Linked DNA regions of Sus scrofa. The protein of the gene in region 1 purifies or fractionates together with the protein of each later gene. This does not show direct contact. Links are inferred from orthologs where the notes say so. Each region holds a gene or a part of one and is shown on either strand. Other genes may lie near its edges.

The links.
Region 2: the proteins of ACTB (region 1) and BCL7C purify together in Homo sapiens (affinity purification with mass spectrometry; 3 studies listed by BioGRID and IntAct, with this or other methods). This does not show direct contact. The link is inferred for Sus scrofa from reciprocal best matches to the Homo sapiens genes ACTB and BCL7C.

The regions. Positions count from the first base shown.
Region 1 is NC_010445.4:4,087,580-4,091,579, forward strand, and holds the start of ACTB (actin, cytoplasmic 1), read right to left. Parts: upstream 2,805-4,000; 5' UTR 2,680-2,804; intron 1,967-2,679; 5' UTR 1,961-1,966; coding exon 1,838-1,960; intron 1,706-1,837; coding exon 1,466-1,705; intron 1,019-1,465; coding exon 580-1,018; intron 482-579; coding exon 300-481; intron 170-299; coding exon 26-169; 3' UTR 19-25; exon of another isoform or gene 1-18. UniProt on the Homo sapiens protein: Actin is a highly conserved protein that polymerizes to produce filaments that form cross-linked networks in the cytoplasm of cells.
Region 2 is NC_010445.4:17,546,194-17,550,349, reverse strand, and holds the start of BCL7C (B-cell CLL/lymphoma 7 protein family member C), read right to left. Parts: upstream 2,805-4,156; 5' UTR 2,615-2,804; coding exon 2,523-2,614; intron 1,952-2,522; coding exon 1,873-1,951; intron 1,535-1,872; coding exon 1,426-1,534; intron 1,327-1,425; coding exon 1,165-1,326; intron 1-1,164. UniProt on the Homo sapiens protein: May play an anti-apoptotic role.

The sequences.
Region 1 (4,000 bases):
AGGTGGAATGCAACTAACAGTCCGCCTAGAAGCATTTGCGGTGGACGATGGAGGGGCCGGACTCGTCGTACTCCTGCTTGCTGATCCACATCTGCTGGAAGGTGGACAGCGAGGCCAGGATGGAGCCGCCGATCCACACGGAGTACTTGCGCTCTGGAGGCGCGATGATCTGGAAGGAGAAGGGGACAGTGAGGCGGGTGGCGGTCAGAGCCCTGGTCCCCAGAGCACCCGCTCCGCGGCGGCTGCCGTGGCACCCACGCCGCCCGGCCGCACCCGGCCAGCTCAGGCTGGGCACTCACCTTGATCTTCATCGTGCTGGGCGCCAGGGCCGTGATCTCCTTCTGCATCCTGTCGGCGATGCCTGGGTACATGGTGGTGCCACCCGACAGCACCGTGTTGGCGTAGAGGTCCTTGCGGATGTCGACGTCGCACTTCATGATGGAGTTGAAGGTAGTTTCGTGGATGCCGCAGGATTCCATGCCTGAGGGGGGAGAGAAGCCCGACTGAGCTTCCGCTGTGGCCACCACCGGGTGAGCCAGGGGGGGCGGGGGGAAGGCAGGGCCAGGGCTGCGTCCTCACCCAGGAAGGAGGGCTGGAAGAGCGCCTCGGGGCAGCGGAAGCGCTCGTTGCCGATGGTGATGACCTGGCCGTCGGGCAGCTCGTAGCTCTTCTCCAGGGAGGAGGAGGACGCGGCAGTGGCCATCTCCTGCTCGAAGTCCAGGGCGACGTAGCACAGCTTCTCCTTGATGTCCCGCACGATCTCCCGCTCGGCCGTGGTGGTGAAGCTGTAGCCCCGCTCCGTCAGGATCTTCATGAGGTAGTCGGTCAGGTCCCGGCCAGCCAGGTCCAGACGCAGGATGGCGTGGGGCAGGGCGTACCCCTCGTAGATGGGCACCGTGTGGGTGACCCCGTCTCCGGAGTCCATCACGATGCCAGTGGTGCGGCCAGAGGCGTACAGGGACAGCACGGCCTGGATGGCCACGTACATGGCTGGGGTGTTGAAGGTCTCGAACATGATCTGGAGGGAGGGAGGGACGCTGTCACCCTCGGGAAGCCGCCGGGGGCAGTCAGGCCGGACTGGGGACATGCAGAGAGTGCAAGGAACACGGCTAAGTGTGCTGGGGACCCCAGGTCGGGGAGTCACGTCAGACCTACTGTGCACCTACGGGATACACACTCCGAGGCCCCTTTACGGCAGCCTCGTCGGCTTTGTCACACGAGCCAGTGTTAGTACCTATACACCCACAGCACCTTATGCTTTTAACACCTAGTCAGAAAGGCAAACACGAGAAAGACTCCAGCTGGGGAAAAGCAAATAGAACCTGCAGAGTTCCAAAGGAGACTCAGGTCAGAGAAGAAAAGTCCTAGGAAAATGGCAGAAGAAAGAACAAGTGAGAAAGGGCGTGGCAAAGAGGGGCAAGAGAGGAGGGGGCGGCCGCCCGAGAGAGCCCAGTGGGCCACTGACCTGGGTCATCTTCTCACGGTTGGCTTTGGGGTTCAGGGGGGCCTCGGTCAGCAGCACGGGGTGCTCCTCGGGGGCCACACGCAGCTCGTTGTAGAAGGTGTGGTGCCAGATCTTCTCCATGTCGTCCCAGTTGGTGACGATGCCGTGCTCGATGGGGTACTTGAGGGTCAGGATGCCTCTCTTGCTCTGGGCCTCGTCCCCCACGTAGGAGTCCTTCTGGCCCATGCCCACCATCACGCCCTGCGGAAGGAGGGGCGAGGCGCCTTCAGCCCGGGCCCGGCCCCACCGGCCCCCACGCAGAAAGCCTCCCCCTTCCCTCCACCTGCTACCAAGACCCCACCCACCAAGTCAGACCCGAGGGCGGCGCCCTACCTGGTGTCGGGGGCGCCCCACGATGGAGGGGAAGACGGCCCGGGGAGCATCGTCGCCCGCAAAGCCGGCCTTGCACATGCCGGAGCCGTTGTCGACCACGAGCGCAGCAATATCGTCATCCATGGCGAACTGCAGGGGCAGCAGGACCGTGAGCCGGAGGCCGGGTGCGGCCGCCTCCGCCCTACTCACTTCCGGCGCGACGCGCGTTCGAGCCGCCAGGGGGCGCCGGCACGCGCCCAGATTGGGGACAAAGGAAGCCGGCCGGCCGCGTTATTACCATAAAAGGCAAACGCTGGTCGGAGGCGGCCCCGAGGCGCGCGGCAGGAAGCCAGGCCTCCGCCCCCTCCCCACTGGGCGCCAGCCCCGCCCCGCCCAAAAAGCGCCACTCGGCGGGCGCGCGGCGACCACACCCGGGGCGGCCCGTGGCTCCGCGAGGAAGTGCGCGCAGGCGCTCTCGCGCCGCGGCGACCCCACCCCTTCCGGCCGCCCGCCCCGCCCTCGCCTCCTGGGCCTACGGCGCACACGCACGCGCACTGGCGTCCCAGCCCCCACCCGGCTCGGCCACCGCGCCGCGCCCACCCACCCGCCCCGCCGCCCGGCTGCACTGCTCTCCCGCCGGCGGAGCGATCGGCCCGCTCGGACAAAGAATCGCCGCCGCTAGGGCTCCCAAAGAAACACTCTGGGAGCGCTCCCCGAGCGCAGCCCGGGCCCCGAACGAGGAGCGCATGAGTCCATTCCCGGCACCCGGCCGGCTGTCCACGGGGCCGGGGCGGAGGGGGCCACCTGCCCACAAGAGGCACGGGCCCAGCGCATCAGCGGCCCGGCCGGTGCGGGGACCCTACCTGGTAGCGGTGTAGACCGGCGGCGAAGGCGGAGCGGCAAGGGCGAGGGGCCTGTGCTGGCGGAGTGGACGCGGTCTCGGCTGTGGCTGTGCGTCGCGCCGCCGGGTTTTATGGGGCGCAGTCGCGGCGGCTCGAGCCATAAAAGGCAACTTTCGAAACGGCGAGCGCTGATTGGCCCCGCGCCGCTCACTCACCGGCCTCGCCGCACAGTGCAGCATTTTTTTACCCCCTCTCCCCTCCTTTTGCAAAAAAAAAAAAAAAGAAAAAAAAAAAAAAAGAAAGAGGGAGGGAGATGGACTGGCTAGGAGAGAGCGAGAGCGAGATTGAGGAAGAGGAGGGAGAGAGTTTTGGCGTCGGCCGCCCTTGGGTGCTGGGCCCCAACAGTGGGCCGCCGCCCGCCTGAGCAGTGTCGGGTCCGGCCCCGCTTGGCCAGGCCTGCACCCGGCCTGCTGGTCTCCGGGTCTCCCCACCCCGGCACCCTCCGAATGTGGATGCCCCAAAGCAGTGAGCGCCCCTGTGGGCAAGGGTCAGCACGGATGCGAGAGTCCCTGGTTGCTGTGGGTGCATGCTTAAGGAGCAGGTGGGGGAAAGGAGTGATGAGAGAGTCACCCTCCCCTTGGCGACATTAGCTCTGCTGCCCAGAAAGCCTGGGTAAGGGGGGGCCCCGACTGGGGGTGCTGAGCTTGCTAAGTGGGGGTGCTGAGCTTGCTAAGGGGGCACATTACTTAGAGACCGTGGGCTTGAGGGCTATGGTGGGGCATGCTTGAGTCAGGGGACTTGGAGACACGTAGCAGGGGCTTCAGGACTGCAGTCTCTAGGGACAGGACAGGCCCCAGGGGCTGGGGGCTGGAAGTTCCCCGTGAAGAGGGCTCCAGGCCTCCCTTGCTGCAGGCCCAGGAGAGGTGGGCTCCGTAGAGCAGAGAAGCTGTTCCCATGGAGCTGGGCTGCGGCTGAGGCTGCCTGGTCACACCCAGCCAAGGCCAAGCCTGGGCCATTAGCTGGCGACCCAGGCAGCTGCCAAGCACTGCTGGCTGCAGGCAGGCAGGGCCACTGAGCACAGCTCTGGGACCCACCATCCATCGTCTGTCTGTCACGTGCAGCCACAGCTGAACTGCCCTCCTAGACCATCTGGAGGCCACCAAGGACTGGGGAAGGACATTCAATGTGCCAGAGAGGAGTTAGGGGGAGGGGGGTGGGGCAGCAGGGACCAGCTGGGGCCCACTCCTGCCCTGGTCTCTCCACCAAACACGGGGTCAGACCTGGGTGCCCCCGGGTGTTCCCAGTGGTTCCCTGCTCTGGGAACTGCCTGTCCAGCAGGGAG
Region 2 (4,156 bases), about 13 Mb from region 1:
CCTGAGTTCGAATCTTGACCTCGAGCAAGTGACTTAATTTCTCTAACCCTGTTTTCCCATCTGTCAAGTGGGGATAATTATAGTAATTACCACATCAGATGGTGTATGAATCAAAGGAGGTAACACAGGCAAAACCGTTAACACGGTTTTAATGCGGTGAGTGCTCGAGAAATGCCAATTATGGTTTTTTATATCAGTAAAGGTACACGAGCGTGTGCTACGATCCAGACACAGAACGGAGGCCTAAGTCCTGGTGTTCTTGGAAAGGAACAGTGAGGTCAGCAGGGGACGGTTCGGGAAGGGCCCAGAGTGCCAAGCTGAGGGGTCAAAGGTCAGAGGGAGCCATCGAAGGTTCTGAAGCTGGAAAATGACCCCATCAAACGCATGCTCTGGTAGCTGTGTGGGTGCAGCTGGAGGGGAACAGACCCATGAGGAGGCCGGAGCCGGGTGTGGGTTAGAGAGACGACAGGGCCTGGGCAGGCAGAGGAAGGCAGACAGACACATTGAGAGATGGATCTGATCAGACAGGGGACTGACTTTACGGGAAGAAAGAGGAGCTGATGAAGACTCAGGCCCAAGATCCTGGCTCGCTGGCTGGGTGAACTTGGGCAGCTTCTCTGGGTTTCGGGTATATCATCTCTCAATGGAGATCGTAGCCCTCATAGGGCTGCAGTGGGGATGAAATGAGATAAAACATGGAAAGAGCTTAGCGGGGTGTCGGGCACGCAGAAAGAGCTCAGTAAGTATTAGCTGTAACTATCACCGACTGTTAATCAGTCTTTTGATTATTACCTATTCCTCAACAAATATTTCTTGAGCACCTGCTAGGTGGTCCGCAGTGTTCCGAGGATACAGCCGAGAACAGGATCAAGATGGGCCCAACCTTCAGGAAGCGGACAGGAGGTGGGAATGGGGAAGAAAGATATTTAACTACTCAAAAGCTAAATTTACATGAAAATCTGTGATAAGTTATCTACAGACCCAAAGAAGCCAGAGGAAGGCCAAAGGCCCTAGAGGAAAGGCAGTCACTTTCCACAGGACTCAGGGATGGTCTCCAGAAGACTCGACACAGGAGGGGGACCAGACAGAGGACAAGTGGGGGGCTGCAACCTTGGAGAGGACAAGACACAGAGGAGAAGGTTCCTGGGAGGCACCTGGTCCTACCTCTCTCCTGGCCCAGCTGTGGGGGCTGAGCATCCTCAGGGACCCCTTCCGGTGGTCCAGCAGGTGACACAGGGCGGCTGGGCTGGGGGGTGCCCCCAGGGCTGGGCTCCGTGCCCTTTTGCAGGGAGCCTTCTGAATGGAAGCTCTGGTTACTGTTCTCATCTGTGGGAGCAAGAGCAGAAAGGGTTGGGTCTGAGGCGCCCAATCCCCTCCTTCATTCCCCACCGCTGCCCCAAAGCCCAGCCAGCATCCCCGACATACCGTTGAGATCGAGCAGGATGAGAGGGCCCCCCCCTCGGGGACTGGCGCCCCTGCCCCTCCGCTCGCGGCCTCGGGATCGCTCTGCGCCGCCACCTGCCCTCCGACGCTCCTGGGGGTTAGAGGACGAAGGGTTACAGTCAGCTTTCTAGTTAGTGCTTGCAAAGCCCCCACTGAACAAATAACGACATTGAGGCACAGAGAAGCAGAAGGCCCTCCGTGAGCGACAGGTTGTGCGCCACGGCGGCGGCGGCGGCGGCGTTAGGCCGTGAACTCAGGGGGTCTGGTGGCGGGGGAGGGGAAAGAGGCGGAGTTGCTAATAATTGTTAACATCTGTTCCCGAGGCTGCATGTAAGGTCTAAGTGGGGACTGGAGGTGGAGGCCAGCCGCCGGGAGGGGCTTGCCCGAGGTGGCCCAGATGCAGGGCCTGGTGTGGGGGAGCTTGCTCACCTCTTCCTGGGGGTCCACCACTGGCACCCACTTGAAGATACGCAGGGAAGTGTCACCCACAGTCACCCAGCGCTTCTCCCTGTGGGACGGTGGAGGGACGGGGTCAGAGAGGCCTGAGGAGAGAGCCAGCCCAGGAGCTGGATGTATCTGGGGATACGTGTGGAGGTGGGGGTGGTGCGCAAAAGAAGCGGCAGCGTGGCTAATGGGACTTGGAGGGAGAAGCCCGGCAGACCTCAGGGCATAGGTGGGGGGCGGGAGAAAGAGAGAGAGGGAGAGAAAAAAAAATAGGCTGGGGTCACGACGCGGCAGACCCCTGGGGTATACATGGAGAGCGCGACTATAGGCCTGGGACCACAGCCTCGAAGATCCCGGGGCACACTTGCGGGAGGAGTGTCAAAGCTTTAGGGGGCGGGGCATAAAGGGGGGGTTCCAGCTCTGGGAGGGCAGGGCTGGGGAACACGCTTTGTAGACCCCAGGGTGTAGCCAGGAGAAGAGAGATAGAGCCCTGCAGATCCAGGACGCAGCTGGGGGCGGCGGGGGAGAGGGGCACACCTAACACCTGGGGGCCACAGGTGGCGGAGGGGGTGTGGACGTGTCGGGGGAGGAATGGCCCGCCGTGGCCCGTCCCTGGCCCCCGGGGCAGCGCTCACCATCTCCGGACCTTCTCGATGGTCGCCATCACCTTCTTGATGTCATCCTTGGCCCGGCTCCGGGTCTCGGCCCGCACGGTCCGGCCGGCCATGCTGGCGGGGCTGGGGCCGAGGCCGAGCCCGCGGCTGGGCCGCCTCCCGTCCGGCGGGCTCAGGCTCGGCGCCAGGCCGGGGCGCCGCTCTCTCGGCCTGTCGCCCCTCCGGGAGTTGGCCGCGCCCTCCCTCGCTCCCCAACGCCTCCGCGAGTCCCCGCCCCGCTTCCTGCCGCCGCGCCCCGCCCCGGCCCGTCCCCGGAGCCGCCCGGCGGCGCGGGCGGCCAGAGCCCAGGCCTGGAAGCCGGCCGGCCCCGCCCCGACCGGGCCCGCCGCCTCCGCCTCGAGGCGCCCGGACGCGCAGCGCCCCCTGCCCGCGGCCGAGAGGGAGGTTGGGGCAGCTCGGCGACTGGACGCGCGCGGCGGGGCTGCGGCCGTGCGTTCAGACCACGTGGGCGCCAGGGGGCGCGAGAGGATCTGTGTCCCGGGTGCGACCGCTGCGCGTGGGTGGACCCTGGAACGGTGTGTGTGTTTGTGTGTGTGTGTTTGCGTGTGTGTGTGTCCCTTGCTCGGCTGCCTGGTTCTACGCTGCAACTATCTCTTCATCCATTCATTCTACAGGCTATTAACTGAGGGCCAGTTACGTGCCAGACACTGTAAATGTACTGAGTGCCTCTTCCACCCTCCAGAATGGCTCAGATGAGACCTTGCCAAGTGGAGGCGAAGTAGAGCAACTGGACCTCTCATATTTCTGGGGGAGTGTAAATTGATAGAGACACTTTGGAAAGCTGGCGCTTTTCTAGTGAAACCGAACGTACACCAACCCTGTGACCCAGCAGTTCCGCTCCTGGATGGTTAACACCCATCAGAAATGCGTGGGTAGGAGCCCCAAGGGACCTGTACTGGAATGTCCATAGCTCTGTTCCTAAGCGCCTCAGGCTAGAAACAACCCATCCACAGGGCCATGGAAAATAAATTGTAGCCTGTTCACACCATGGACGACAGGGCAAGGAGAGTGATGTCCTGCTACACACAACATGGGGACGTCTCGTGAAAGAGGTCAGAGAAGCAATACGCCCTGTGATCCCATTCAGAGAAAGTTCTGGACAAAACCAATAAATGGTGCGAAACACCGGGGAGAGTGGTCACCCTGGGGACTGGGAGGGGCTAAGAGGGGCCTCTGGGAACTGGTCAGATTCCGTTTCTTAATCTGGTGCTGGTTCCCACGGCATATTTACTCTTGGAAAATTCGCGGAGCTGTACATATAGGATGTGTGTACTTTACCCTGTGTCTATAGCACGTCAATGAAAAGCTTACTTAAAATACATGTGTCTTGGTTGATTTTGTTTGAGGCTGTGTTTGCCAGCAGGTATGACATTCTAAATTTGTGTTGCTGTGTGTGAATGTGTCAAGGGTGTGGCTCTCGGGTCTGTGTGTTTTGGTGTGACTATGTTCAGAGGTGGTTATGACATCATTTCTGGGCCAAATCGCTGGGGTAAAATCCCAGCTCTGCTTGTCCAGTGACCTCAAACAAGTCACTTATCACTATTTTCTCAGCTGTAACATGGGAATGAGTTAATATACATGTAACTCTTAGAACA